Arabidopsis thaliana: one gene and its partners. The protein of the gene in region 2 interacts with the protein of the main gene of each other region in a pairwise test. Each region holds a gene or a part of one and is shown on either strand. Other genes may lie near its edges. The genes, in order: TFL1, FD and GF14 PHI.

The links.
Region 1: the proteins of FD (region 2) and TFL1 interact in a two-hybrid assay, tested with the Arabidopsis thaliana proteins (2 studies listed by BioGRID, with this or other methods).
Region 3: the proteins of FD (region 2) and GF14 PHI interact in a two-hybrid assay, tested with the Arabidopsis thaliana proteins (one study listed by BioGRID).

What each region holds. Positions count from the first base shown.
Region 1 is NC_003076.8:1,019,848-1,030,053, reverse strand, and holds TFL1 (PEBP (phosphatidylethanolamine-binding protein) family protein), read left to right. Parts: upstream 1-4,181; 5' UTR 4,182-4,257; coding exon 4,258-4,467; intron 4,468-4,677; coding exon 4,678-4,739; intron 4,740-4,945; coding exon 4,946-4,986; intron 4,987-5,073; coding exon 5,074-5,294; 3' UTR 5,295-5,554; downstream 5,555-10,206. Other genes in the region: AT5G03850 (Nucleic acid-binding, OB-fold-like protein), read left to right, coding at 1,318-1,512; AT5G03830 (CDK inhibitor P21 binding protein), read right to left, coding at 9,925-9,964, 10,032-10,088, 10,176-10,206. UniProt on the Arabidopsis thaliana protein: Controls inflorescence meristem identity and is required for maintenance of an indeterminate inflorescence. Prevents the expression of 'APETALA1' and 'LEAFY'. Also plays a role in the regulation of the time of flowering in the long-day flowering pathway.
Region 2 is NC_003075.7:16,999,203-17,010,184, reverse strand, and holds FD (Basic-leucine zipper (bZIP) transcription factor family protein), read right to left. Parts: upstream 5,664-10,982; 5' UTR 5,440-5,663; coding exon 4,732-5,439; coding exon of another isoform or gene 4,705-4,731; exon of another isoform or gene 4,597-4,704; coding exon 4,519-4,596; intron 4,305-4,518; coding exon 4,233-4,304; 3' UTR 3,877-4,232; downstream 1-3,876. Other genes in the region: AT4G35910 (Adenine nucleotide alpha hydrolases-like superfamily protein), read left to right, coding at 1-77, 353-474, 576-654, 755-1,149, 1,320-1,368; AT4G35905 (Trm112p-like protein), read left to right, coding at 2,118-2,218, 2,311-2,365, 2,824-2,901; LARP1c (winged-helix DNA-binding transcription factor family protein), read right to left, coding at 9,775-10,038, 10,282-10,353, 10,865-10,955. UniProt on the Arabidopsis thaliana protein: Transcription factor required for the transition to flowering promoted by FT.
Region 3 is NC_003070.9:12,863,014-12,873,854, forward strand, and holds GF14 PHI (GF14 protein phi chain), read left to right. Parts: upstream 1-4,112; 5' UTR 4,113-4,250; coding exon 4,251-4,745; intron 4,746-4,835; coding exon 4,836-4,958; intron 4,959-5,042; coding exon 5,043-5,159; intron 5,160-5,348; coding exon 5,349-5,501; 3' UTR 5,502-5,877; downstream 5,878-10,841. Other genes in the region: AT1G35150 (General transcription factor 2-related zinc finger protein), read right to left, coding at 1,145-1,240, 1,313-1,474, 1,546-1,694, 2,090-2,796, 2,960-3,225; AT1G35170 (TRAM, LAG1 and CLN8 (TLC) lipid-sensing domain containing protein), read right to left, coding at 7,725-7,829, 8,049-8,144, 8,504-8,623, 8,758-9,126. UniProt on the Arabidopsis thaliana protein: Is associated with a DNA binding complex that binds to the G box, a well-characterized cis-acting DNA regulatory element found in plant genes.

The DNA of each region.
Region 1 (10,206 bases), on a different chromosome or scaffold from region 2:
CGATTCCAAATATTCAACTTGTTTTTGTATTGTTATGTAGATTTATCACACAATTTTTTTTTTTTTTTTTAAGTTTTTAAAAGTTTAAATAATAGAAATTTGGATGATAAATTTACAATACGATGTGAGAACTAACCGGATTTTGGATCCCGTCATTGATCGTTAGCGATTCTAAATATTCAACTTGTTTTTTTGCATTGTTATGTGGATCTATCATACAAGTTTCTTATTTGAAATTTATTTTTCTTATTATCTTTTTAGTTTTAGTTTTTAAAATTTTAAATAATAGAAATATGGATGATAAATTTACAATAGGATGTGAAAACTAACCGGATTTTGGATCCCGTCATAGATTGTTAGGATTCCAAATATTCAACTTGTTTTTACATTGTTATGTAGATTTATCATACAAGTTTTTTTATTTGAAATTTATTTTTCTTCGAAATTTTAAATAATAAAACATTGGATGATAAATTTAGAATACGACGTGAGAACTAATCAGATTCTAAATCTCGTCATTTGATTGTTAATGATTCTAAAAATTCAATTTGTCTTTTTACATTTATCATACAAATTTTTTAATTTGTTTTTTTTGTTATTCCAAAAATTCAACTTGTTTTTCTTAAATTAAAATTCAGTGATTAATTTTATCGTAAAGTGTAATTGAAACCAAAGAAAAATAAACCAAAGTAAATGAAAACGCCATCTTTAACGAAAAAAAAATGAAGAAGAAGAAGCAATGAAACAAATACAAAATTGATAAATTAAGCTTGGATTTGTAAATTAAACATAAAAGCATGGATTCGGTCAATCCAAATTATTGAACCGGCTGGGCGAAAACAAAATTAAAATAACTGAACTGATTCGGTTATTGAAAACCGAGTACCGAAATTAAGCAGGCCTATAAAATGCAAAGAAATCCCTTATTCTTTCGTCTCTGTAAAATTAGGGTTTTTGCCTCTCACGCTTATCGCCGCATCTCCGTCAACCTTCATCTACAGGTATCTTCATCGTTTACAAATCTTGTCTGTTGTATCTCGAATCGATTGCTATCTCTTGTACATTTTCTTCTGCTAAATCTGTCTTGTATCGAATCTGTTATTTGAAGTTAGCCCCTGTTTTCTTAGATAATTGAAACCCTAGTGTTGCTCCTGTTACGATGAGAAACTCTGAAGATTGAAACTTTCATAACAAGGAATTCTGATTGTGATAATCTCTGTAAAGTTGATTGCTTTACATGAAACTGTGTACTGATTGTGTATGCATTTGATTGATGTTTTAATGTGAATTTTCATGGTTTTGGTTGATTGAATCAGAATGGATTCTCAGATCAAGCACGCTGTGGTGGTTAAGGTCATGGGTAGGACTGGTTCAAGGGGTCAGGTTACTCAGGTTCGAGTGAAGTTTACCGACTCTGATCGTTACATCATGAGGAATGTTAAAGGACCAGTGAGGGAAGGTGATATCCTCACCTTGCTCGAGTCTGAGAGAGAAGCTAGGAGACTTCGTTGATCTTCTTCTTCATACTCCAAAATGCGGAAACAAGAAAACATTTGGTTATTTCTCTTTTGCTTTCTTTGATTGGATTAGTGGATTATGCATTTGGAGTCTTAATTTTGTTGTTGCTTTAAGACAATTGCTGCTGGATTTATAAGTTGTTTGGTATTCAAAATCTCTTCATCCCTTTTTTATATTGTTCATCAAGAATTTGCTCTATTCTCCATCTTGTTCTACCTGAATCATGTGTTTTGGGTTATGTTTATAACTTGGGTAAGCAGTGGTGTGGTCTTGCCATCGCCACAGATCTTGGATTCGTAGAAGAATGGTTATATTGGTTTGGTTTTTCCAATTGAAAATCGAAGCTTTAATCGAGTCCAAAATGTCTCTGAAATGTATCAACCAAAACTGATATAGGAAGCTACAAGGCTAAGATAAAATTTGAAAGCAAATATGTTTCTACCCTAATGTTTGAAATCTCTGCTTCAAATTAAAGTAGTACTCCAACCAGAGCAGCTAATACCTCATCAGAATCACTTTCTTCTACCCTGGTCCGTTCTGAGTCCAACCTTGATTTCATCCGTGGTGGTAAGAGTCTTAAGACTGTAGCGAGTGTAGACTTTAGTTTATTGATAACATCCCTACTTTGTCACCATAGTGACCAGGCTTCTCGTATTTGAGTTCTATGGCTCTTACTTGCCAAAAGAGCTTCCTTCGTCAAAGAGGTGTTTTGGGGTCGCCAAAGTTAATAACCAGAGGCCGGGGATAGAGAAGATTCTTTTGGGGGGGTTTGGGGTCGTGACTCATGTCGTAAGTTGTTGCTTGCTACATCTTTTGGATTAAGCTTCACCTAAGCTAAATAGCTAGTTGATACGTTGTCTACTTTTTTTTTTTTTTTGTCGTTGATACGTTGTCTACTTGTATTGAGCACATTGATGTTTCTCTTTTCTTTTTGAAAATTCGATTTATCTTTTTTTTTTTTTCTAAATTGTTAAAGGGTTGTCTTGTTTGGAGAATTTGTTGTAGACAACTTTATATAAGTTTGATATATTTTGCTTTGTGCCTTTATTCTGATTAATTACCAAATCTTAATAAAGCATCAATCAAGACTTTCTAATATAAGAAAATAAATAAATTATTATTTAGTGGAGAATCCATAATAAGTTAATAATCATTATATTCAATAGGACAAAACCTTTGGGTGTGTTTATATTAGTCTACGGATTTTCTGATTTGTATAACACTTTTGGTATTTCAGATTAATAGAGTATTATGGTTGAAATATGCATTCGTAAAATCTTCGGAAGTTTTAAGGTTTTGTAACTAATAATCATATATAGAATCCCAATTTGAAGAATCGGTTCTTCACGTTGGTTTTATTGATTCGATAAAAAGAAGTTTTTTTAAGAATCAATGCGACAATGCGTTGTCGTTCCACGAGCAAGGAGTCCCAAATCTGCGATATGTTTCTTTCAAATAGCCTCTGAGCTAGGCCTGGGCATTCAGTTTCGGTTCGGTTGCGCATGGTTTCGGTTATTTCGGTTATAGTAATATAAGAACCATTTGGATATTTGAGGAATTTTGGTTCGGTTCGGTTCGGATATCTTTCGGTTCGGTTCGGTTTGGATATTAAACTTGGTAACCATAAATAAACTAAAACCGAAATAACCGACTAAAAACCGAAACAACCAAAAAATTTGACCAATAACCGATATAGAACGTACGTAAAAAAGAGAAATATTCACAACTCACAAAGATGGTCCATACTCTCCATAATATTAAAACACCTGATTCACAACTCACGAAATTCAACTTGCAAACTAATAAAGAGAAAAACATAGTTAAGTGTCAATACATACTGTGATATATTATCTATCATACATATATGCTTTGGTTTTCATTTGGTTATCGGTTATTAACCTAACCGAAACCGAAACCGAAATCTAAGACATATAATATTCAACCGGTTATTTTAAGCTATCCAAACCTGAACCGAACCATGTTTTTCGGTTCGATTCGGTTCGGTTAATCGGTTAGCGGTTTTTTTGCCCAGGCCTACTCTGAGCAATAATTGTATCCGGAGTTGTAATAGAATCAAAGTACGATGAGAGTGTTTTTATGACAAATATCTTAATCTTGGCCAATTATATGTTCTACTGAAATTCTTTTTGAATTCATCGACCAGTGAGACTTAAAAATAGCTTTTTATTCGCCGAGGTATATATAGCTAGGAATTTTGTCGAAATTTAGACGTTAGTGGGTTTTGTTCTTCGTGACACAAAAGATATTCTATATATTAACGAAATCTAGCGATCGATATGGTATTTATATAAAGTCTTGGTCATAGATAGGGGTTGAAACTTGAAACCATGCATGATATGCCAATGTTGCTGAAGCAGTCAATGTTGCTGAAGAAGTCAAACGTAATTATATAGTGAATACCAAAAAAGTGATATTTCTTAATTCAATTAAATATAATTATAGTTTTAAATCACCTAAAATAAGTTACTTATTAAAACCCCCCAAATTTACTTTAATATAGTTGGTGTACATGTTTGAGAAAGCAAACAAAAAGAAAAAGAAAAAGAAAAAAAAAAGAGAAAGAGGTTAGTACACATAATTGGGAATTAATGTCTATTGATTCTTTTATCTTTCTCTCTCTCTCTAAGACGGAAAACCCCTATAAATAGATGTCTCGGTCGTCTCTTTGTCTCCCAAATCACTACAAATCTCTCTTTTCCTCTAAGTTAACAAAAGAAAATGGAGAATATGGGAACTAGAGTGATAGAGCCATTGATAATGGGGAGAGTGGTAGGAGATGTTCTTGATTTCTTCACTCCAACAACTAAGATGAATGTTAGTTATAACAAGAAGCAAGTCTCCAATGGCCATGAGCTCTTTCCTTCTTCTGTTTCCTCCAAGCCTAGGGTTGAGATCCATGGTGGTGATCTCAGATCCTTCTTCACTTTGGTAAATACATATATTTAAATTATTTTATAATAATGTTGGTTTTATTTATATTGTGCCAAAAAAAACCATATAAAACGTCTCACTTCCTTTTCCTCTTACAAGTTTTCCATTTCTAACTCAATAATCTTATAAATTGTAGCTTTAGTTTTTATCATTCCTTTTTCCAGTCTTTTTTTTTTAATGGTAAAACTCAACCGAAATGCAAAACAGGTGATGATAGACCCAGATGTTCCAGGTCCTAGTGACCCCTTTCTAAAAGAACACCTGCACTGGTACGTTTAATTTATTTATTCTTTCTTTTCATTTTGGGCCCATATTCCATATACATTGCATTTAAATCATTTCGTTATAACCCTAATAAAGTTTTTTTTGGGTGTAAGTTATATACATTTGAGTTGGTCAAAGATCTCCATCGCCATGAGTTCTCAGAACTTTTTCTGTAAAGTAATAATATTAGTATTGTTGAATGTTTCAATAGGATCGTTACAAACATTCCCGGCACAACAGATGCTACGTTTGGTAAGGCCTCTTCATGAATCTTGTAATTTAAATACTTATACATATATCATGTTATATAGAAATAAAAATATTTGCATTGTAATATAGGCAAAGAGGTGGTGAGCTATGAATTGCCAAGGCCAAGCATAGGGATACATAGGTTTGTGTTTGTTCTGTTCAGGCAGAAGCAAAGACGTGTTATCTTTCCTAATATCCCTTCGAGAGATCACTTCAACACTCGTAAATTTGCGGTCGAGTATGATCTTGGTCTCCCTGTCGCGGCCGTCTTCTTTAACGCACAAAGAGAAACCGCTGCACGCAAACGCTAGTTTCATGATTGTCATAAACTGCAAAAATGAAAGAAGAAAATTTGCATGTAATCTCATGTTTATTTGTGTTCTGAATTTCCGTACTCTGAATAAAAACTGCCAAAGATGAGTTGAATCCGAAATATCAATTGAGTTTACAGAAGTATTGATAACGATCTGTCGATTATCAGAATAAAAACTAGATTAATTGCATATCATGTTTAGCATTGTAATACTACAAAAATAGTAAACTCTTGATTAATTAATAAAATCTAAGTTGCTGTAGTATATAAATCATTAAATCCTCATACATGGCTTGATAGGTCACATCACATGTAGTGAACCTTATTATATGATAAACGTGGAGATACGGAAAAGGATAGTTAAACGATGAAAACTTTTTTTAGTTCTGGTCAAAGTGACAAGACCTTGATGACCATCTAAAATATGATCCTCTCCTCTTCTTACTCGGCGATCATATTCATATCTATTTTCACGGCTGGTATTGTGACAAACAACCACCTTTTATTTTCAAAAAAAAATCTAATAGGCATATGTATATTTCTCTATAGGGACCCTTTCTCTATATATATATTTATTACATTCCAAAATTCAACGTCAAAAATATAGATTTATTGGGTATAAATCCCTCACTAGCGTAGACATGTCCGCGGTAAACAAAAAATGTCTCTGCCTACAAACTATATAATTCGAAACATATTAGATAGAAAAGTCAGTCTTCAATAAAATATTTATTATATGTATATATGAGGTATGAGATATAGTTTTTTGTCAAGAGTTTTAAGAAAAAATATCTATATTCAACCGAATAACCATTAAATAACAAGTCTTAATCATTAAAATGCTTACAATATTTTCATATTTTTACTTAAGATTTTACTTTTTGCTACCTTGCAAGTTGCAAAAGTATAATTAAGTAATTAACAGTCTAGTTTTTGACAACAAGAAGAAATTAGCATTCTACATTGATTCAGTGTTCAAATGGAGAAAAGTTTTTTTTAAATGGATTGGCCATTTTGGGTGTATAAAGAATATAGTACAGCCTGAATGATAGACCCATCTTTGAGAAATGAGAGATGCAAGTGGGAAATATTAATTTCAACGGTAAACTCAAGAGAGATCACGTGTCATTAATTCAGTGGTTAGCGGCTAAGTACTGTTACAATTATCCTCAACGCCGACCAACTTCTGGTTCTCTACATGTATATTCGCTATCATATAAACAAATCTAGCAAAATACGACTAACTTAGTAACTTGTTTCGATTTTGTTAGATTACTATTACATAGTTTGGATTCTCGTTTATTAACAAATTACCAAATATCATAAACATTTTTCGTTCCAGCTCAATGACTAAAGGTATTGAAATCGAGTTTAAGTTCAATGTGGGTTTCAATCATTTTATTTTATTTTTGCTTAAGAATAGTCAAAGCAAAATTGATCAAAAACAAACTGGTTTTGGTTTCATTGTGAATTAAAAAAAAAAAGGGATAAGATAAGGGTTATCTACACATGTGCCATAACAAAATCTTATGTAATTATTGCTTCCAAGACTTCAGAGCTAAAATAAATAAAGAAAAAACTGAAGAAAAAACAAAGAAGTATATACAGTACACCTACGTAGGCAAATTGATTCGCTACCAAATCAAGGGCATGCAAAGACTTTAGGATTTGCCTGAAAAAGACACTGTGAACTAGAACATTATATAGAGTTTTAGGGTTTCAGTAACACATAATGTGCCTGTGTTGTGTTTAGCCACTTATGGTTATTTTCATAGCTAAATATTTTTCCAAAAGTGAAACACCATTTTTATTTATAAAATGACTGGCCCCTCGCGTTTGGTGTTATTACAAATCAACACGTGCTCTGTTCCATTCCATCCCTGATTTTACTCAAAATTTTGCTACATCTAAATATATTTCTTATTGCCAAAATTGAGATGGTGATTGGTGTCAGTATTTGGGTATGAATCGTTTTGAACTAAAAGTCTAAAACATTATGTAGAGTATTAGGGTTTCAGTAAAACATAATGTCCATGCGTTGTGTTTAACTACTTATGGTTGTTTTCATGGCTAAATATCTTTCCAACAGTAAAACACACTTTTTATAGCGTATTTTATTCATAAAATGAGTGGCCCTTGTTATTACCAATCAACACGTACTCGGTTCTGTTCCCTCCCTTCTTTCACTCAAAAATTTGCCTAATCTAAATATATTTGTCATTGCCAAAAATTAGTTTACTGTTTGGGTGTGAATCGCATCGAAATGCTCTTCGTATGTGTCATAAAATGAAACTGAAAATCGTTTTGAAATTCATAAATACGTATTTAAGAAAAATCGTTCAAACATATGATCTCTCTGCCAACTGCCAAGTACATGTATTATTTGCTTATACATAAAATTTAACTAAAACTCATTTGAAGATCATTTATATTCGTTTCATTTCTCTTTTCATCAAAAACCAAAAATAAAACAAAAAATCTAAAATCAAAAAACAAAACTGTCATGCAAAATAAAATATTGTTATAAATTTGATGTATCTGATTTATAATTTATGCAAACTCAAGTCTTGTCACAAGTAATTACTTTCTACATGTACGAGCATAGTTATTTCTTTTTCATTTCACGGTACACATTTTTTTTTTCACGGTACACATATAAATCACATCATTCAAATCACGCATTAACTAACGAATTATATCTACCGGTACATAGATTTATAAGTACATTAACATCTTCTATTTCACCGGTACGAAGCCGCAAACCTGGTGATTAACCAGCAGTGGAAATTATTAGCCGCCATACTTCGGTTTAGAACGACTCTCGAGGACAAACCAACATGCAATAACCTTACGATTAAAAGAGACGACCTGTCGTGTTGCATGTAGTAACAAAAAAAAAAAAGAGAAAGCAAGAAACATACTAACCCTTGGACCGAGTCTACTGGTCCTTCGTATAAACACATAAATTCTAATATTTTAAAAGTTTAGGGCTTTGTAACATAGAAAGGCTGTCTAAATTTGATTGGTTAACGTGTCGAAGAGTCGTGCTAGGTCCCCTCATGTGTTAAGGTTTGATCCTCGTATAATATATACTCACAACAAGTAACCAACATAAAGTGAGGAGGAGGTACATTTACACATACATGTAGACAAAGTAAATTCAATAATTTAACCAAAAAAAAAAAATTCTAATAAAAACAATTTCCATCTTTATAGCTAACCCATAATATTGTATTGCTGTTACAAAAAAAAGGCTATATGGATTTCAATCAATCCTCTTTTTTGTGGAAAATTTTGAGTTTCTTTTTAGGATCTAAAAATACTAACCAAAGTAAAACTGAAACGAATAATATGTTGTTGTTAGGGATAATTCTTCCAACAGTTTCATCTTCACAAGATCTCATTTTAATATCAATTTCGGATTGGTCCAGTTAGAACAATTTTATATACATATTTGATCATATCAGTTTTTGGTTTGGATTGGATAAAACGTGTGTTCATATTGTGTTACTATGTTGAGTTTTATGAGTTTTCAATTCAAAATTAATTTACAAGTAACTAGATTACCTATGTTTTGTGAATAAAATTAATCAAATCGTTCATCAGTTACAACTAAGAAATAAGAATTATGATTTGTATAACTATTTTCTATCCAATATTTTTTTTTAAAACATAAAGATTCTATGTAAACAAAAATAAATCATATATATGTTTTCTTATAAAAATATCTTCAAGTGGTAGGAGCTTCTTCTGCGATGCTTTTGTACTGCGAAAGCTGCAAAAAACATGTGTCTCTTTCTCCTTTTTCATTTTTTTCTGGTTTTACTTTCCTTTTTGTTTGTTTTCTTTTTTTTCTGTTGCAAATAACTTTGTATTCAAGCTCAAAGACTTTCTTTTGGAAGAGTCTATTTGTTACCAAAGTAAAAACATCACAAGCAAATTGTCTTTTGGGAGAGTCCAAGGGTTGACGAAGAGAGTAGATAACACATTTGCTGTTCACAATCTTGGTTCTGATTTACACAATCTAGCTCGAAATTTCTGGTTAACATGCATAGCTTTGAGATCATTTATACATAGCCAACTATATTGTTTATTCCCAATGATCACCACTGTATTCCAACGCGCTGTGATCCACTAACACATACTTGAGTATATTTTGTCAACACTACTGTTTCATCTTCTGAAAATGTCTCATTTGAGTATATCTATACACATACTTTTATAAGATAAATACAAAGTTTACACTAACTCGTGCATTTAACTTTAGTGTTATGAATCAAATAGACCAATCTACATCTGTTTCTAACTAAACTTCAACACTTACAATTAAGAATCATTGATAGCATTTCACACTGTTTCATATAAACCCTTGAGCAAAAAAAAAGAAAAGGTAGTAGACCAATGTTTCAGTTCCACTAATATGCAGGGGAAGAAAGCCTGAGAATGACAAAAAATAGCACTGTAATAACCTCATCAAAACTGGCAGAGATCTATAACAACTGACCGGTGAGCTGAATCTTTAAGAAGAAGAGATGTTCATTATTGTTCGTCAATGAGAGACTTCAACTTCTTTCTGAATTCAGGAATCTTTTGTGTCTCCACGACCAGCACTGACAATTCTTCAACTACTAGATTCGCCAATCGCCATTATAACCAAAGATTACAAACCTGAAACACTTGAATCAAATTTTTGTGATTCCAGGGAAAGTATGTTGGCATTAAAGAGATAACTTACCTCTTGAGATGTAACAAGCTGCGAGTACATAGGTAATATGAATGACCAAGAGCTAAGCTGCAATACATTTTGTAACACATGTTTAGGGTATAACTTTTTTTGCTAACAGACGGGAAGTCGAGTAGGTAATGTGAGAATAAGTACCTCGAGAAAAATTTCATCTTCAGGCTTAAGT
Region 2 (10,982 bases):
AAAATGGGTACAATAGATTAGTGTTGGGATCATGCACGTCGAGAATTGCTTCCCATGTTCTTACGGCTACTGTCAAGGTGTGTTGCTTAGTGCCCTGACTTGACTCGTGTTTCCTCTGGCTTAGTTATTCTATAGATTGCATCTTAGAGTGAGAACTTCATGCCAGAAAGCAATCAATGGCTACCTTAAAGAATGTAGATATTTTGGACTTAACCAATTACATCTCTAAAAATTGAAGTTTTGGTGTAAAGATTTTATTTCAGTACACAATGTTTTGTGTACTTTATTTGGACATTCCCTTTAGACTATGTTCTATCAGAATTGTGAGTTGAATTGCTTTTTCTTGAAACAGGGACGAGGTTATTCACTATCAGCAGATATTCAGCATGTTGATGCTAGATGGAAGGTTCCCATTGTACTTCCACTTCGAGATTGTGTTCGACTGGAAATAACTAGACTCTGCCTTTTGGATGGGTTCGTTTATTGGCTGCCTAGTCTACATTGTATTGTTATAGTGAACCTTATTCTTGCATAATCCAACTATTGAGTGACGTCACATATTCTGGGCAGGGCAGACTTAAGACTGTGGAGTTGGCTTGTCGTTCTCAATGCGGAATCAATGATTTGGTGTCTTCATTTGTCGCTCTGTTGCAGGTTCAGATAATGTTCATCTTCTGCATATGTTTAAGTGCATGCATGGTTACCTGTTACTTTGTTTTTACTGATTCATTTGTCTCTGGGTTCTGTTGTGCAGGAAGAAAATCCTTCCCGGGAATGCACAATTGTACGGACAGCTGCGAAGCTGACTCCATTTTACTTCAATAAAATTCCGGAAACAGACGACTCTAATGTACCTATGGCCACTCAGAGGCGCCTAAAGAGATTCAATCTCAAATATGATGGATCAATGACTACTGAAGCTTTCTGTCCTATCTGCAATGGCCCGCTAAATAGATCAGACTCATCAGAGTTGGATACTTTTGAAGAAGGCCAGGAATCTGATGTCCTCTATGCTGCTTGCTGTTCAAGTTGCCGGTTTCAAATACTTCCACAGGATGGATCATCTCTTGAGCAATTCAGTTCATTTCTACCAGATCACATGATTTCCCAAGTGAAACATCAAAAAGTTGATAGTCAAGCTTATCTGAGGTGAGTAGTATGCATTAACTCTGATCTCAAACTTGGATTCCTTTTCCATTCGTTTTACCTACATTATTGGTAGTTCATGTCTCTAGGAAGCATCAGATTTAAAACAACCAAGATCAAGACTGAGTGAAACACTATTTGAGATTCCTAACATTGGTTTCCATTTATTTCAGGGAGAAAATTAAAGACTGTCTGCTCTTGGACGATGAAGAGGTTGTCTAAATCTGCATTCGGATGCTTGCACAAGGTATGAGAGGAAGTTTAAATCCTGTCATGCTTATCAAGGATTATTCCTAGAAACCTAAGATCATCTTAGTTTAATGTCGATCTGATATCATCGTAGATGTTAAAAGTGTTTTTACTCATTCGTTACAATGATTGTCTCAATGTGAAGCAAAATCACTGAGCAATTGAATGAAGCATCTACAGTTTTACACATATAATACAAGAATCATGGGAAGTTTACAATTTGTAACACAAGTAGTAAACTTGTTAGGGGTGATGCGAGAATCAAGTTTTGTAATATTTCTATGCGCAGAATCAGAGATTCAGGAGCATTAATCTAGAGTGCAAGTGATCAACATCTTCCAATAGCTGGATAAGAAATCTGTGTAAATTCTAACCAATGTCCCATAGACATTATAACACGAAGCGCTTAATGTTTGATCAATTTATAAAGTCCGACGGACGAATGGTCAACAAATTAGAATTGAGGGCATCAAACAAGAACTATAAAATATAGAGGCTTATATTTGAAAATTTTCTCCCCTAGCTAGAATAATATATACACATTGAAGGGACCGTTTGTGAAACATAAAAATTGAGGGGCATGGTTGGAAACTTTTAAATTTATAGGGGCGTTTTGCGTTTTTACTCAAAAAGTCCAAAACTATCGCTCAACGCCGGTCGATTCTACCGGAGATCGGAAAAAAGGAAAAAGTCCGGAGAGAGCTAAAGATCAAAGCTTTAGAATGGTGAGACTAAACAGAGTGCTGCTAAAAGACGCCGGCAATGTAATTGACAAGACCCTCTCCGAGATTCTGGTGTGCCCTCTCTCTAAGCAACCTCTGAGGTTCGATTTCTCTCCTTCAAAATGTACATAGCTTAAATTCGATTGGTCCCGAAGAACTTGTTTAAGCAATTTGGTGAATTGATTGCTGATAGGTTTTGCGAGAAGACGAAATCACTTGTCAGCGATACTATTGGTGTCTCTTTTCCTGTAAGCTTCTATCCAAAGCTTTTTGATTTTTTCGATTCAGATGCTTGTGAGCTGTTGAGCTCCATGAAAGTTAGATTTATGGCGCTTATTAACTCTCCAAACAGTGAAATTGTACGAAATCACTATCATATCTGCTTTCAGAATCATGCTCTCTTATTCAGTGAACATGTTCTCAACCCAACTTTGATCTTTTAGGAATTGTCTAATCAAAGATTGAGATGTGTATATATATATAGACTTTGATTCTTTCATTATTCTTCATTTGCTTCATACTAAATAATGTTTAAAATGAATTTATTCTTGGTGTTGATTTGGGATTCACTGATGGAATAATCATATGCTAAAGTGATTGGTCGGCTGTTTTCTTCTTAATGATATTCTTCTTGTTCTTTTTAGATTTCACTTCATGTTCACGATTCAATGTTTAAGACTTGATTTTGCTTCTCTTAACACGCTAGATCAAAGATGGGATTCCATGCTTGGTTCCAAAGGATGGAAAAATACTTGAGGAGGAAGGTGATGCATCAAAAGCTTAATGACTTTTGCTTTTGCACCCAAAAAGAAATAAAATGGTCAGAGTGAAGGTATCAGCTTGTATCTGCAGCAACTTATCAATGGTTCGTTCTGTCCTCTGTACTAGTTACCTGATCATCTCTTCTAAACTCTCTTTTAGGCTTGTGGCCAAGTTCTGGTAGCATTTTTAAGTATGAATGTTTGATGGGAAACATTGATGTAACCAATTGAAAAACATTATAGGTGTGTAGTTTCAGGTGAATAAACCAACTTTTTCGTTTAAAGTTTCTTGAAGTCTAGGATTCTTATTGACTGGAATGAAAGTAGAAGCATGATTTAAAGTATTGGATGCCTATTTGAGGGGCTCTAAGTGTAACCATATAATGTGAGGATAGATTCTAGTCATAGTCCCACTTTTGGTAACTATTCTTCTTTATCTTAATGTCCACTATATTTACACCATATTAGCTCTTGATGTCCACTTTTGGTTGCTTAAAAGAATACACAGCAATATATCAACAACCAAAAGTGGATCAACAAGACTTATCACTGTCAGGTAAATGAAATTGGGCCAAAAGAAGATAAAAACTATTCTCTTGATAAACCAAATGAATACAAACACACCTAGTGTTTTTGATGGTGACCAGTTAGAGCAAAAGCTACAATACTATGTACTATGAATATAAATAAAACGTGGGGAGTGACCATGCTGAATAAGAAACTTATCATGTTCTCTCTTGACCAACCCGAAAAGTGGTGAACTTAATTCCCATTGGCTTGGAGGTTTCAAAATCATATTGCAAGTTGTTGGCTTGTATGGTAGACAGCCAAAGGATTGGATATTTATGTGATAATGTGATAGGGAGAAAATTAAATGTTCAGTGATAGGTCCCCTTCTCACTTTTCTCTGGTATTGTCATCATTTAAGTGGAGCACTGTTTTGTCTATTGGTCATTTGATCCTTTGCTTCTTTTAAGAACCAAATTGGTTAAACAGTAAAACATAAGGTTTTTTTTCTTACTAGTATTAGAAGAGGAAGTAGAACATTACTACAACAAGAATACAAGTAGAAGTTAGTACAGAAGTGAAAAAAGGGTTTGCATAGGAAAACGACAGAACATTAAGAGAGGACCCAGGACAGGTGTTCCTGTGCCTTAGGAAATTGAAAGATCCTTTTCTCTTTCCGGGTCTTTTGTTTTACATCTTCTTTTTTCCCCTACAATATCTTAGTTCTACAATTTTAGGCTTAGTTATACTTATAGCTAATAAAAAAGGGTACAAACTTTTGCCATTTTTTCACTTCTTCATGAGACAATCTCAATCCCCAAAAGAGAAACAAGGACTTGTAGATTTCTCAAAATGGAGCTGTGGAAGACCGTTGAAGTGTGTTCTTTTTGGGTTGCTGAATTGCTGCAGCCATTTTTAACTGCACACACACACACACATAATAAACACACAACTGAAGTATCAGAATCTAACCACCCAAAATGTCATTGGACAAAAAAGTGTGTAAAACAAATATACTCCAGAGGCTGTCTGTCTGTCTCTTTTTATAAGTTGGTTAAACTACAAGGAATTGATCTAATGACATGAGTGCTACAAAAGGGTAAAACATTAAGAACTTGGCTCTGCTTGTTTACCTGATCTTGTTGTCTCTTGAGTCTTGCATTTTCTGCCTGCAAGTGAGCAACTTCAAGTTCTAACTCGTTTGTATAAGCCTGCAAATGAGAATCAAAACCAAGAGACCTTTTTTTAGATCAAAAGCAATTTGATGGCAAAACCACATTTCTTTTCTTCCCTTTTTGATACACATGAGTAGAAGAAGATTAGGAGGGAAGAGGAGAGGCACATTCCTGTTTCCTAGCGCGGGAACGAGCTGCAGATTCTCTGTTCTTGATCATACGCTTATGTCTTCTATTCCCTGAACCTTCATTGGAATCTTGGCCTCTTTTCTTACCAAAAGAACTGGATGGAACCAGAGCCTCGAAAGAGGTGTTGAAGGCATGAGCGTTTGAGAGGTGATGGTGGGTATGAAGATTAGAGTTTGAGGTAACAAGAGGATCTTGGTTATCGAGAAACTCGAAGCCAGCGCCGGAATTCAAGCTCAGAACAGTTGCAGGAGGTGGAAAAGGAGAGCTGTAAAGAACAGTGACCGTGGTGGAATCGCCATTAGGCGCAGAACCCGTGGTCTGGCTTGTGGGTGCTGGTTCCTGGTTCAAAGATCCTTTGAGAAAATCTTGGAAGATTGAGTTAGGGTTTTGGTTGTGGTGGTTTTGGCCCCTGAACCTTGGCTCGTGGTTGTGTTGTGGATGAGGGCTGTGTCGGTTTAGGTGGTGGATGGAAGCAAGGTTGATGTCATTCCAAACTTCTTCCATGGTGACAAGAGATCTCTTCTGGGCTTGAGAGTCTTGAGAAGGTAAAGGAGATGATGATGAGGTTGATGATGATGAAGAAGAAGACGATGGTGATGAGGATGAAATGGAAGAAACTTTGGTGAGAGTCTGGTTCTTGTTTGTAGCAGAGAGTCTATGGTTTCTCTGATGCTTAGCTGATGACAACATTGGAAAAGAGAACAGAAGTGAACCAACAACACAGCTTTAGTCTTTGGTTGTCAATTGTCTAGTAGTATCCTACACGCAGAGAGGGAGTAGAGAGAGAAAGTGGTGAGAGCTCAGAGAGAGGTTCTTGACTTTAGCCGGTCATTTCTGGAATGATGGGGTTGGGTCCAAGACTCCAGAAGAAGAGACAGAGGGATTGAACTATTTCCAATTAAATAATATATTTCAAGAAGAAGAAGAGAAATTCCATAAACTATTATATGTAATTAAAGGTGTTTGTTGATGTCTTCAACGTCAGAGTTATTATAAAGATTAAAAATGGTGTTTGATTATTTCAAAAGTGAAGTATTTTTCATCATCCTTAAATGTAAAGAGTGAGTGGGGGTGAGATGCTTGTAAAAAGCCAGGCAAATATATAAAATTATTTTTGGTTTTATCTCACTTTCTATTTTCTAATATCAAATCCCTTTGGATCACTTTCAACTTTCATGTGTGACTTTAATTTTTGTTCTTGCTCTTAGATTTAAGGAAAATTTGCCAAAATACACTTTTTTCCCCTAAGGGTATTGACGAAATAAAACATTAAAAACAAAATGAAAGTAGATAAGAATATATACATCTTTCTGTATTAGAAATAATTAAATAAATTCGTTTAAATATATAATAAAACACAAAATCCTAACTACTATACCAATAAACTCAAATGTAAAAATTTCTTCTGTTTTTTTTTTGTTTTTGGCAGCAAACATTAATTCCGTTAGAATATTTCATTCCTCTTTTCTTGATGTGGTTAATATATTTTAAACGAAGATAGAATAATATTATCGAATATAAAAAGTAGTACTTGGGTGTTCGTATATGTAATTTGTTTCTATCAAAACTAAAAGTCTGAAAATTATATGTTTGATTAGTACAAAAAAACTTTATTTTATATGAGATTCGGAGTGTTTAAGAACGGGTCATTTGCACTTAACGTTTTCTTAAATATGTAGTTGCAAACATTTCAAATAATATCGACCGTATAGTTGAAATGCATTTAAATAACAAAAATATTGTTAACTATTGAATTGTTCCCCACTTCAAATCATTGGTGTTCATGTCATCCAACGAGATTTGATCAAAGTGTCAATAGTCTGTTTTACAATACGGATAGGGAAATCAATTTATGTGGGTCTCCAACTCTGAACAAAACAAACATTACAAGTGGATAGTAAAGTATTAGATTTTATATGACCAATATAGTTTAGATATTTATGTTGATTGTTTTGAAGATTAGAGACGAATACTAAACTAGTTAATAATTAAGCCAAGTAGAAGATGATACATATTAATAAATCTTTGATCATACGTAATAAACAAATAATATGAGTACCATCCAGATATCTAGATATTCGATTATCGTATCTACTATGTAAGTCAGTCTCCAAGTGCATATCTAGTCACGCTTTTCAAATTTTTCCTTTATTGCAAGTTGATTATATATAAACTATAATAACATACGATATTTGTTTTTCTTTCCTCTTCTCTTATTCTATTCAACAAGATTAACTATTCATTTCCGTACATGTATATAATTTTTTTTCTCTGAATGTTGAAATCAGCCCTCAAGGAAACGTCCCATCTTTTGAACATGCAAAGAGTACTACATTAGGAGCTGTTTATCGAAAATGCAAGCTCCTCAAATACTCATATTTGTTAGAAGATATATATTTTCCATTTGTTGGTGAAAAGTACAAAGACTTTAATTTGTTTACATGTTTCCAAACATTGGGTTTCAAAATACATTTTGAGTTTTTAATGTGAAACACAAATTTCATAGATCTTTGTTGTCGTTTCGCAACCACCAAAAATTCGAATGTAAAGAGTAGTACTTTTGTTAGTATCGACGTCACTACGCATATTCATTGACGAAAATAAAACAAATTTTCCCAGTCTCAAATCATTTTTGCAAAATAAACTCAAAATAAAGTTGGGGTATAGTCTGTAACGAGTGAATTCAAATGTCCATTGTATCATAAAATTGTGCAGAGAACTTGTAAGTTGTATAAGAAAGGAGTGTGACATGTCACGTCTCAGGGGATTGGACAGGTGTCAGCACTATATTGCTCTGTCCCAAACTCCATCAAATCTATTTCTCTGTCTTTTAATATCCTCTTTAGTTTACTTTTAAACAATGCATATAAATGGAAACAAATTCTGTTTTAGCAAGTTATATAAAATTTTCCGGACTATCATACAACATGAAATATGCCTACCAAAAGTAGTAAGTGCAAAATAATTCATTGTTTTATATATCTCGATTTCCTACAATTATAAAACATTGTTTGGTGGTGAAGAAATAAAATACTAATTACATCTCTATATATTTAGAGACGTAAAAGGGTTTAAGATAGACTCGTTGGCTTGAAAAAAGACTCGAACTCGGTGGACAAGTGATTTGATTTGATGAAGAGACAAATCTCAACTTGTTTTTAATTATTCATGTTCGTTTACATTCAAATTTATAATCCAACGAACAATATGAATGACCCGTGAGTTCAATAACCGTTGGATTCTGTAAGTCTACTGGTATGTACAATCATCATCTGTCCGTAGGTTGTCTCTAGACCGTACGGAAGCAAAGTAGACGTAATAATTTACTGCTAAAATTAGCAATAAAAATAAATAAAGGAAAAAACTTGGAGTTGAAAGAGCCAAAAGAATGCTAACCGTTGGATAGTCAAGATGGGTGGGATTGTGTACTTGACATCTCCAAAATGGTAAGAATAATTGAGACAACTTTCTATATTTTTGGTGTGTTTTGTGAATTAGGGTTTACTATTTTCTTAGTCTATCAAGAATAGTTCTGATTTTTTGTTTCGCATGGATTGTGACATTGAACCTATTCTTGGGCCGTTTCTGATTATTTTCCACATTTGGGTGAACATATAGAATATTCTGATATTATGTGAGTGTTTAATTAGATATAATTATGACTAAATCAAGTAGAGAGGGCCTTGGATAACTAGATCGTCTTAGACTTTTAGGTGTAGAAAAGTCAGCTTTCATTATTACGAGAGATCTACATTATACTGTTATTACGTTAAGCTTAATTCGCTGCAATAATGTAAAACATTTATGAGAAATAAGTAAGTACCTAACTAGTCAAAAAGTGAACCAAATAATTTCAATATGAATTAACACACATGTGAAAACTGATGATAACAAAGGGAAAATTTCACGGTTAAAACGCTATACACACTATGAATTATTTATAACTTTTGAATAGACACATTAACCTTTTTGCTACATTGTATTTAAACTTATGTATGAAGTTGTGTTATTTTATTTTTATAAAACATAGAATCCATGCTATTTATAAACTATCATACTTACGAAATGCCTTATAAGACACATTAACCTTTTTGCTGTTTTGGTAAGTTAGTGTTTAAATAATCTTGTAACATACGAAATGCCTTAGGCTGATTTTGCAAATAAAAATAAAAATACAGTTATTTCTTGATCGAACTGAAAAATACAAGAACAGTTATTTAATGTTATTACTTTTAAATTCTTAATTACATAGCGACTCTCCAATTTTTGTATTTTTTTAAATGGTTTACTGTTCCATTCAAAATCATACACAACATAACACAGCAGTACAATGCCAGCCAGTAGAGCGTTAAAGCACGTGTTTGCTTCATGTTCACAGCAAAGCAAACCACAAGACGCTGCCGTTTTTGTACATGTTTTTGGCGTGTTACTTGTTCGTCTTACAATGTTAGGTATAGAAATTCAAATAAAGGTACACTTTGTTTTTTTCTCACACCGACGAAGTTGCTAAGGTATAAGAGACTCACAAGTCTTTCTCTCAAGTAAAGTTTCTTTTTGCTTGAAGAATTAGAAGAGATTCACGAGTCTACTCCTCTTATTTTAACTCTCTCAAACCCATAAAAACAATCGAAATATTGAAATCCAGAACAGAACAAAAAAACAGTAACAGGGGTTATAAGAGAGTATTAGCAAGCAAAACCAATAAATCCCAGACCATAACAATGGCTACAAGCAACCATAATAATGATCATAGCATATGTAGCATAAACATAAAAAAAAGTTATTAGCATCCAAAAATAACCAAAAAAAAAAAGAACCCATAAATATGCCAAAGTTTCCGCTAGCTAGAAGAATCACAAATGTTTGATCCTTTTTTTTTTTTTTTCATATGCGTCTCTTCTCTTTATGCTTTTATCTCTTTTCTTTCTTTTTTGATTCCCCTTCATTATTGTTTTCCTCATTTTGGGCAAGACAAAATAATATATTCATGTCCAACACTAACCAACAGCCCCCAAACTTGATGGTTCAACGGTTTGCACCATCTGGGGCGTTGTGGTTGCTCACTGGAGCAGTACTAGAAGACTGTTGCTGATCATCTGAAAGAGCTTCTGTAGGTTGCAACTGACTGCTCGAACCACCAATGGGATCAGCCGAACTCTGATCAACTGACAAGTTTCCAAGTCGTTTTGCCACTGCATCTGCCCTATCAACAGATTGGGGGCCGGAACCTGTAGGGTTCCTCCTTAGCACCCAATTTTGCCAATTATCGCGCTTCCTTATGAAGTCACCCTGAGAAGAAGAAAAAAGTATGTCCAATTAAATAAAGGTAAAAGTTTTCCAAGCACACAAAGAGGTAACACGAAGATTATTTTTTCAGTTCCACCAGTTTTGATAAGCTATCTCTCAGAATAATCAAAATCAAATACCTAATAGAAAGGTTTAAGTTCAATCACACACTACCATACTACTAGCAAGGAAAGACGATGGAATTCAATAGTTTACACATTAAAGGACACATAATACAAAAAATACCTGCACTTCAACATGAGGTGAATTTTGAAGAGCCTCCACTATCTGCTGGATATTATCTGTAAGTTCTGCAACCTGAAGTAGGAGAGAGAAAAAACAAAACATAGATAAAATTCACAGAGAATAATAACAGAACTCTTGACGAGTACAAAGCAACAAAATGTTATAGTAACTAGGATAAGGAAAAAGAAAAGCAAAAAAAAATTGGTGTAGAGCCTACTGTGCAGCTAGCTAATAAGTCCTACTTGTTCAGGTTCAACATTATGCAACACAGTATATAAGAACAAACGAAGGATTCACAATCGAATTTCTCAATACATGCCCACTGTTAACATATTTCAACTATCTTAAGAGCATATCCATTTGCTGAAAGTTTGTACATGCATGCCACATCTTTATATAAATAGTCACAAAAGAATCAAAGATCCTATTGGACTAAGTAGTAAGTACAAATTCGCCTTAATCCTAATCAGTAAAAAAAACATTTGTTGAATTATACAGAAATGAAACTCTTAATTCTACTGTTTATAATATAAACGGAGAGAAGTGAACTGGGCCAGTATGAAAGACAATACATCTAGTTTACCTTTTTGAAACCAGCTACCACACGTAGCGGAACAAAACCCTCATTATTCATGAACCCTCGAAGGTATATGTCTGTAATCAAATTTTCATCACTGTAACAAAAGACACATTTGCATCTA
Region 3 (10,841 bases), on a different chromosome or scaffold from region 2:
GTTTGATTGGTAGAAAAAAAACTGTTGGAGTTTAGAATACTCTTAAAGTCCTAAAAGTCATGTGCTATCTTGTACAATCGTATAATACTATTTATACATGTTTTTCTCGAAAAGAGCTAATAAACTTATGAATTAGTCACAAATTTGGTTGAAGATTAAAGATTGAACTCGAGAAAACCAGCATTGACACAATTACAAAAAAATGTCGAAAGTCATCCAAACTAAACCGAAGGCTAGTTGCCAAATTCTAGAAACCCTAAATTAAATTGTTCATTTCTTCCCTTTTTGCTTTGCTACCGTGGTCGAACGGGTTTCATCGAGCATCGATGTCGGATCTTTTACCACCATCTATGAGGGAGCTATTTCATGACATAATTAAATTACAAAAACCTCTTATGTCCGGTTGCCTTTGAAGAACTAAATCACAAGGCTTTTAGTAAGTATATATCCTCTTCTTTGAACTAGTCTATGCTGGATCTTTGTTTTGTTAATATCATCTTTTGCACTGTAACTTATTAAACTTTCAGACTTCTCAATCCACGAAATTTTTGATGCGGAGGAGCCAATGCCGGTTCAATGTTTTGCGAGACCGTAAGCAAGATTAAATTTTTTTCCCCCTTTTAAATGCTACTTAAATCCATACTGAAAACAATTTTTTTTTGAACTTCAAAAGAACAATCAGAAGTTTAGACATATAAAAAAACATAAAGAATCAAAACTAAACCAAAACATAAACCAAGAGATAGAAGAGAGAATACATAAGTGTCGACCACAAGCTAATCAACACTTGAATAAATTTCTACTTAGTAAATATGATCCTTCTTGAATTTTTGTCCTGCAAAATCATCCATCACAGTCGCATAGTTGATATTTTCAAGCATTGCTCTCTCAATTGATAATATAGCTAACCCATTCAATCTATCTTATGACATTTTAGACCGCAAATAATTCTTGATCAACTTCAGCTTAGAAAAACTTCTTTCGACGGAAACAACTGACACTGGAATGGTCAATAATATCCCATAAGAAATCCATGTGTTTGGATAACAACCCCCCATTCTTTTCAAAAAATCAAGCACTTCAATAGGTTTCTTAACTTCATTTGGTAATACTTCTCGTAGAACTTTTATTTCCATAAACAAATCTAGCCATCTATATCAGAATGCTCACCATGCTTGAGGGATGATTCAAGGTGCACACAAGATGCCATTAAACTTTCATCACTTGCAGATGTCAATTTCTTTAAATCAAACAGAAATCCAAAAGTTTGTTCGTACCTTTGGAATTGCTCAAATCTTGACTAAAGAGAAACTAGAGCTTGATCTATGAGTGTGAAGAAGTAATTAATTCTGAAATCCTCCTCTGGTGACAAGTCCATATTCTCATCTCCTTTTTCTGAAACTTCATCAAAATGCTTCTTTCTTCGAATGGTCCTCTTCTTCTTTACAAGAAATTCAGCTTCTATATCCATATCCTCTGCAAGTCATACAACCTCAAACTTTCAATCTCAAATCTTGTCTCTCTATATTTTTGAAGATATGAAACGAGTCCTTTTAGTTCGATAATAGCAACATCAATATCAATGTCAGCCGATTGTAAAGTCTTGCTCACTCGGTTGACAACAGCTAGAAGATCATACCAAAGAATCATACCAAAAAGAATCTCAAACACTCCAATACCATGTGTTTCACTCTCTGCAAGGCATTCACATCACTTCGTGTTTTTGGATCGTCGGTCTTTTCTGCCAAATAAAGTAAAGCATCTCTGATTTCAAGAGTTTGAAAACGTATGGCTTTGACACCTTCGAGATGACTCTCTCAACAAATTTGAGATGAAGATTTAAGTGTTGGACCTTTTACCATCTCTTTAAATATATCCCACCTGTTTGTTGAAGATACAAACAAACAGTATACTCGCTGTAAACTCCCAAAAAAAGACATTGCCTTTGTCGAAGAAGATGTTATATCGCAAAGCACAAGGTTGAGGCTATGAAAACCACATGGTGTGTAGAATGCTCTTGGATTAATTTCCAACAATCTTCTTTGTACTCCTTTGTTTTTTCCTTTCATATTAGATTCGTTGTCATAACCTTGTCCTCTCACATCATCAATCTCTAACTCCATATCAACTAATGCTTCTTTAATCTTAGAGAATAACCCTTCACTTGATTTATCTTTCACTTCCAAAAATGTCAAATAAAACTCTTCAACCTTCGTTAACGTTGAAGAAATATTCACACATCGAATGATCATAGTCATCTGTTCTTTATGACTAATATCCGGAGTACAATCAAGAATTATGGAACAGTACTTTGAAGCATGTATTGTCTTCATGATCATAAGTCTAATCTCACCGGTCAAGATACCTATTAGCTCATTTTGAATCTTGTGACTTAAATAATGAGAATATATCTCAGCTGCACCAATTCTTCTGATATGCTCTCTCATTACGACATCAAATTCTGCAATCATTTCAATAAAACTCAAAAAATTCCCATTTCTGTCTTGGCCAACCTTTTCATTTTTTCCACGAAATGCTAAATTATTTTTAGCGTGAGTTTTCACCAATGCAATGATCCTTAGGAGTACTTCCCTCCAATGAATATTATCTTTGTTTATTGCTTCTTGGGCATGCTTATCAATCGTTTTATTTTTCTGTAGTCTAGACTCTAACTCAGCTCGACGAGTCATACAAGTAATGTGATCATGGCTGCCTTTGTGTTCTTTGAGTCGCTTTGAAAGATTTCTCCAATCATTGTACCCGCTAGTTGCCAAGTAACCACCTTTTTTGTCATGTCTCAACAACTTACAACAAAAACAAAAGACTTTAATCTAATGCTTTTGAGTAAATCAACCATCTTCTATCTTGTTTCTCCCCATTCCTCATTTCTCTTATGTAAAATGTTTGAGAAAAATGCCTACCAATACTATCTTTACGAAACCGGTAATTAGTTGATAACCTTGTCGCTAGACCCTTTTCAACTAATAAATCTCTGAATCTCATATTCATGTCATCCCAATTTACTGGATCGGAAATATTGGAAGGAAGTTCTTCTTTCTGCCCACTTTTCTTCTCTTCATGAACAACTTCATCTTGATCTTTGTTATCAAACTCATTCTCATCCACTTCATTCGTCATCCAAACTGTCCACATTATTGTTGTTATCAAGCATCTGCTTGGAGGAGCCAATGTAGGCATGTGCTCTCTCTTCTTGTTATCAAGCATCTGCTTGTGATATTTTTGTACAATTAAGCTAACATAACTTTAACAAAAAAAATCTGTAATAATAAGTTTATATGTACAATCTAATTCCAACAAATCAAATACTAAACTAAATATCATTGATCAACTAATTTTTTTATTTCCTAAGAACATATCTCTTTAAAAGAATTGTTTGAAGTTTCTTCCATTAGAATAAGTCTTGTGAAAATTTTATTTATTACATCATTAAGTAAAACTTCTTTTAAATTAATAGGTTAAACAGTCTATATATATTTAGTTTTTTTTTTTGAAAAATAAAATAAATTGCATAAAATAAATTGGCACTAATTTTAAAATAAAACGTTCTAAAGATATTTTTTATACAATATATAATAATTAATAACCTAACAATTTCTTTCTTTTTTAACAAAACAATTTCAAAATTCAACTTAAAAAAAAAATTGCTCAATCAACAGAAATTACAAAATGCCAATATGGACGTAAAAGGTCCATTAAGGAATCAAAATACAACAAAGTAACTTTTTCCACATAAAAATAAACTAAGGGCATCTCCAACGCACAGATACAGTATGAGTTTCTCAATTCTATTTTTTTAATCAGTTAATAATAAATATATTATTTATTTAAATTTTATATTATAAAGACAAAATCTGACCAATCATAAATAACAAGGGGTTGAGTTGGGTTTCTCATAGTTTCTCATATGAGAAACGTTTCTCTTTCTTTCTCCACCTTTTTCATTACTTTTTATTTTTTTAATCTCCAGATACTCATTAAAAAACTGCTGTTGGAGATGACCTAAAAACCGACCCAAAAAGTATCAGAAAATTCCCGTGTACAAAATTTAATCCAACGGTCCTCCTTCCATCTCCTTTCGCAATCGTCGCTCCCCACTCAAACAAAAACCAAAAAAAACAAAACTATCTTTTAAACCCCAACAAAAAAAAAATTGAAATTCGAAAACAGAACAAAAAAAAAAATCTCTCTCAATCTCTCTCAGATCTGAATCCATCCATCACCGATCTCTAATGGCGGCACCACCAGCATCATCCTCGGCGAGGGAAGAGTTCGTGTACCTCGCAAAGCTCGCAGAGCAAGCGGAACGTTACGAAGAAATGGTTGAATTCATGGAAAAAGTCGCTGAAGCCGTTGACAAAGACGAACTCACCGTCGAAGAACGTAATCTCCTCTCCGTCGCTTACAAAAACGTAATCGGCGCTCGTCGTGCTTCCTGGAGAATCATCTCTTCCATTGAACAAAAAGAAGAGAGTCGTGGTAACGATGACCATGTGACCACGATCCGTGATTACAGAAGCAAGATCGAATCTGAGTTATCGAAAATCTGTGACGGTATTCTTAAGCTTCTTGATACTAGACTTGTTCCTGCTTCTGCTAATGGAGATTCTAAGGTTTTTTACCTTAAGATGAAGGGAGATTATCATAGGTATTTGGCTGAGTTTAAGACTGGTCAAGAGAGGAAAGATGCTGCTGAACATACTCTCACCGCTTACAAAGCTGCTCAGGTTTATTCTCCGATCTGGAATTTTGTTGGATCTCATTTCTAGGTTAAATCATGATTTGTGTGAATCTGTGTTTCTTTTGTTTGTTTGTAGGATATTGCTAATGCTGAATTGGCTCCAACGCATCCGATTCGTCTTGGTTTGGCTTTGAATTTCTCTGTGTTTTACTATGAGATTCTTAATTCTCCAGATCGTGCTTGTAATCTCGCTAAGCAGGTGATGAGAAAGTTTCTGATCTATTTGGGATTTGAGTCATTGTGTTGGTACTACTCTATGTGTATTGATATTGAGATATAACAGGCGTTTGATGAAGCCATTGCTGAGTTAGATACTCTTGGAGAGGAGTCATACAAGGATAGTACCTTGATCATGCAGCTTCTTCGTGACAATCTTACTCTCTGGACTTCTGACATGCAGGTAAACGATCGAAACGAAACCGTTCTTTGCTTCATCGAAACTGCTGATAATGGTTATGATAGAATAGTTTTGGAATTGTCCACCAACATAGTTCATTGCTGATAATGGATATGATAGATAGGCTTAGTGGCTCATGATGCTGGAATTGTGCACACACATTGTTCATAAGCTTTGAATCAGATGGTTTAGTTTTGCATTATGTATGATAATACTCTCATGAGCTTCTTGGTCTTGATCTCTGATTCTGTTGTGTTAATTTCGACGATTAATCAGGACGAAAGTCCGGAGGAGATTAAAGAAGCAGCAGCACCAAAGCCTGCTGAAGAACAGAAGGAGATCTAAGTTTGTGGTTTCTTTTTTCAGTATTCTTAAGTTATGCAATTATAATTATGTTTCTGCTTGGTGTTTATTTTCTAATCTTTCCTTTGCTATCCCCGAAGCTTCTAAGGCCGTCTAATTCTTGTCCTTTGTTTGCTTTTCTCAATCGTGGATGCTACTGGATTTCTGTTTTGTTTTACTTCTTCTCTTGATTGATTGCATTTCCCGGCTTATGCCTTGTACTTGAAACTCAGTTTTCTCTCTTATTAATGATTTGCCATTCACCTGGTTATGCGTTTTTGTATACATGTGACTGCGTTTGCAATTGTGTTTTCTGAGTTTGCTTAGGTTATGCACACACAATTTACGCTGTTTGAGAATGAGCGCTTGCTAATACTGATACAGATTATTACAGGAAACACTGACCTCAAAATTTGCGTGAATTTCGATGAGATTTGCGTAGGAATAACAAGTGTTGGGCATATAGGTTTGAATCAAATGGGACTTACCAAAGTTTGTATCAACCTCGTTCACCAGTTATTGTTTTGCAGACCTCAACCAAAAGTTAACATGAACGAGGTCAATACCTCTCAAAAGCTGATTAATTGATAGCATCACTCATAGTAAGGTAGAGATTAATGTTCAAGAAAACGTTAGGCGTTAATTGGGCGGTAACCCAATGCAACGCTTCATCGGGTCTAAACAGTTTTAGGCGGTTAAAGCGTTTATAGTATAAAATATTATAAATATGTTATTATATGTAAAAGTTATTTAAAACATAAATTAAAAAATAAAAATCTTAAATTTACAAAACAAAAAATAGATAAAACGTACATTAATTCATATCAAACAACATTTGAACATTAAACTATATATATGAAGACAAAATTTAACAAATTTGAATTTGAGTAATTAAAATTTGGAAAAAAATATTAAAACGAAGCATATATAATCTTAGGCGGTCGAAACTGTCGTTTAGGCGTCATGTGAAAACCTAACATTCGATCTCTACGTTTTCACGTCCGCGGGTTACTCTAGAATAATTTGAAATGAGTTTATAGATCCATGTAGAACCCAAATAAGTTTGTGATCTTCCTAAATGAATGGCACATGAAAATATGCCAGACAACAATTTTTTTGACAGAAGATCTTAAGCTCATAAGATGTAAACTTCAACGAGCCATCTCAAGTAACCATAGATAGCTGTCATGGATTGAACATTAATGTAAATTATTTATTTGCAATAACATTTTTAATATCAAATTTTTATGATTGTGTCCCTAATTTGAATACCGTCTAGATCCGCCAATAAGCAAGACTTGGTAAGGTTGACTTGAAGAAATTTTACGAGATTTCTTTCCACTATTATTCTTTACATTCTTGTTATAATGGTTTTTCTACCTTTTTTTAGTTTACTTGTGATTTTTGACAAATAAAGCTGTTACTTTGGCTAAAGATTCCATTGATTAGTTGTTTTTTTTTTACTTTCCTTGTTCCTTTTTTTTTGAATTCAAAATTTTATCTCAAAACAAATCCTATATATATATATTAATAATAGGAGAAAATGTCATTTAAATCATCAATTATCTTTGACAAAAAAAATGATCAATTATCAATTTTTGTTAATTTAAAGCATAGTCTACGTACCTCATAATTAAAATGCTCAATTTTTTGTTGACTTTTAATTTAATCGCAAATTTTTGTTGACAAAGCCAATTGAGCCACATCGTAAACTAGCTAAACGGAACAATTAGATGTTGTTATGTGTCTGTTAATGAGTCTATTAATTAGCTAAACAACGGTGTTTTCAATCATAAGAAAACTCCTAGATCGATTAATCGAGGAGAGTTTCTTTTAGTAAAAACGGCGTTGTTTAGATGAAAACAACTTCGTTTAGCTATTTAACATACACATAACAGTGTCTGATTGCTCCGTCTAGTTAGTTAATGATGCGTTTTAATTGGCTTTATCAACAAAAATATTTGTAACTAGATTGAAAGTCAACAAAAAAAAGAGAGCATTTTATTCACTAAGTACTCATACTTTAAATCAACAAAAATGTAAATGACATATTCCTATAAAAATATATATCCGTTTGGAATGCTCACTAACCAATAACCTCTATCAGACAAAATTTTATAGATTTTCATATCGTTTATTTTCTTTTAGATTAAGTCGACATTTTGGATTCCTTACATATAATTTACATATAGAAAAGCACATGAGTCATAATATTTGGAATTTCAACTACGTCGATTTTTTGGTGGACATTGATCGTTTAATAAATTTGTATCTCATCATTTTGAGTAATTTATAGAACGCGCTCACAAGTTGTAATCCCAACCCCATTACCTAAGAAAATAAGAACACAAAAAAACGCACATGAAATGTTATATCTCAACTGAAATTTGTGATCATGAAAAATATTTTAGCATCTTTTCCTAAACAAAATCTTCTTTTCAGTTTTGAAAGTTTCACATTTTTATAAAACTATGAACAATTGATGAAACAATAATAAGTATAGCCTAGAACGAAATGTAAATCATATTCATCTATTAAGATACTGTATACCTTGATGAGGATGGGATTATCAGCTGGTATTGTTACGTAAACTAGGTAAGGTCCACCCACCATTCGGGCCACCGAGAAAATTGTTGCAAAAAACACCTCCACAAAATAATGATTATTATTACGTAATTCTCCCGCCATAATATTATAAATTTATTTTAGTTAACATCTCTAGATTTAGAAACAATAATATCGATTTCGTAGCCATAATGTAGAGTGTTTTTACAAAACTTGCAAGATTTGACAATAGTTAACGTGTTGGTTTTGTATATTTATTCCTAGAAATGATAGCTAGCTAACTCATTAAGAACTTATCTCTAACAATCTTAATAATTAACATCTCTTGATTTTAGATTATCTCAAGTTAAAATGTTAATAACAATTTTCTTCTAAGCATTACTAAATAATTACTAATTATAATTCATATAAGAAAAGTATGTATGTATGTAAATACTCACATCGGCTGCAAGATTTAGGTCGGTGTCTCTACAACCAATCTCTTTAAGAATCTCCCTGAGGTGAAGAAACGGACTTGAGATCTCTGTTATCCATATTGCTGCCACCATCTCGGATCCACACTTTAAATCCACCATATATTCACAACAAAAAATAAGTTTATTTAGTTACTTAAGATCCAACTTTTCATAGTACATAATCTACAAGACTACAAGTTACCATTAAAAACGAAATAAAAGAGGGGGAAAATATGTACCTTTTGGTAGAAAAGTCCAGCTACAAAACCAAGAATGCAAACAGAATGATGAACCGCATTATCAATGCTAAGGACTTGATCAAAGTGGCTACAAATGAGATCGTAGATCATGTACGACAATGAAAACGCCAACGTTTCCATCTGCCGGAGAGACGATGTAGAAGCAATGGGACAAACAGGACAAGACCAATCTTGAATCGAGAGAGTTGCTAAAGTGACAGCGATTGTTGCGTGAAGCGTTGAGACTATACGGGTGCTGAAGTCGAACGAGTAGCTTGAGAAGATTCGTCTTACAAGGATGAAAATGAGACCCCATGAGATTATTCTTATTGTTGTTATGCTTATTATTCTTATGTATTCTTCCTCCATTGATCTCCTTCTCGTCTTATATTTTTGGTTCTGACTTCAGAGAGACACAACTTTGTTATCTAAGGTCTTTTTAATGCTCAAACCATAAAAAAGAAGATGATGTTTATATGCTTTTGGTCTTTGGTTTGGTCTTTAGGCGTTATTAATAGACCGAGATTGTGAGTTTGCCATGTGAAAAAAAAAAAAAAAAAAATCTTAAACGTACAATTTTAGTTTTAGGGTTTTGTTAGTGAGAATCTCGGAGACACGATCTCTTACTTAGGGCTTGATTGGAACCGCAAACACCCTTTTCCTTAAACTCCCGTAACCGCAACCGCATCCGCTGCGTTTAAACCAGTCAGGCCCTCGATCAATATTCTTTATATCTCTTATAATTCAATGTTAATTAGCTTAATTGGTTAGCGTAATATTAAAAGTAAACTCAGTTTTCTCTCTTATTAATGATTTGCCATGCATCTGGTTATGCTTTTTGTACACATGTTAAGGTTACACAGTTTGCGCTGTTTGAGAATGGATACTGATTCAGATAACAAGAAACACCGAATCGATTATATATTTGTGTAATGCTGTGAATTGGATGAGGTCTGCATAAGAATAACAAGTGTTAGGCATATATGTTTGAATCAAATAGGATTTAGAAAAGTTTGTTTCAACCTAGTTTGATGGATCCATTATTATGATATTAGCTAAAGCCCACGTATATAAGCGAGTATAGATATAAATATAAAATTTCATCATTGTAATTTAAATTCGAATAATAAATAGTAATGCACACACTTTTCCTAATGTTTAGTTTAGTAATTTTTGTTTTAAAAAAATTTTAATCTTACCCATTCTATTTCATATACATTTTAACTATCTAATTCATTTTGTCCAAAAAAAAGAAAAAAACTATCTAATTCATCAAAATAACCTAAATTTTAATTCTACATACTCCATCTTAGTGATAATATTTGAATTTTACTCCACCTTTTTGTATATTTAATTTTTTTTTACACCAAATTTCAATCTTACATTTAGTTTGTAATATAGTTTAGCTATCTATTTCATCATAATAATTTGGATTTAATTTTACACTTCATCTTGATAGATAAGTGCTAACGACTTAATATAAAATAAATATGTATAACATATTTGACATCTTAGTTAATATTAAAAGTACCAAAATATAATTAATAAAAAATAGAAATTTACAAACAAATATTTGGAAAACTGAAATTGTTTAAAGTATAGTTTTTTTATATGGGGCAATCTCTTAGGTTAGTTTTACCTCATTCTAAACTAATTATATATGACTTAAAATTAATAAATAAAACATATTAAAAATATGAATATTCTCATTATGTAATCAATAGTTCAATCCTATAAGCCATATTTCTCAAAATAAAATTGTGTTTTCACATGCGTTAAAAATCTTAGTAAAGAACAGAAGTATAACCATACTAATATTCTCATCAAGTACTCAAAAAAACTCTTCTAAGCTCATTATATAAAATAAACTAGATAAGGCCCGCCTAAATAGGCAGGTGTAAGATGTAACTGTAATTTTTTATCGATAATATTTAAATTTTGAATAGTAAAATAATAATCTATACATTGTTCTTAATATATAATTTTGAATAGTAAAATAGTAGTCTTATGCATTTTATTTTATTATACCCATTCAATCTTATTGATGATATTTGAAGTCTAAATAGTAACCTACACACTTTTTC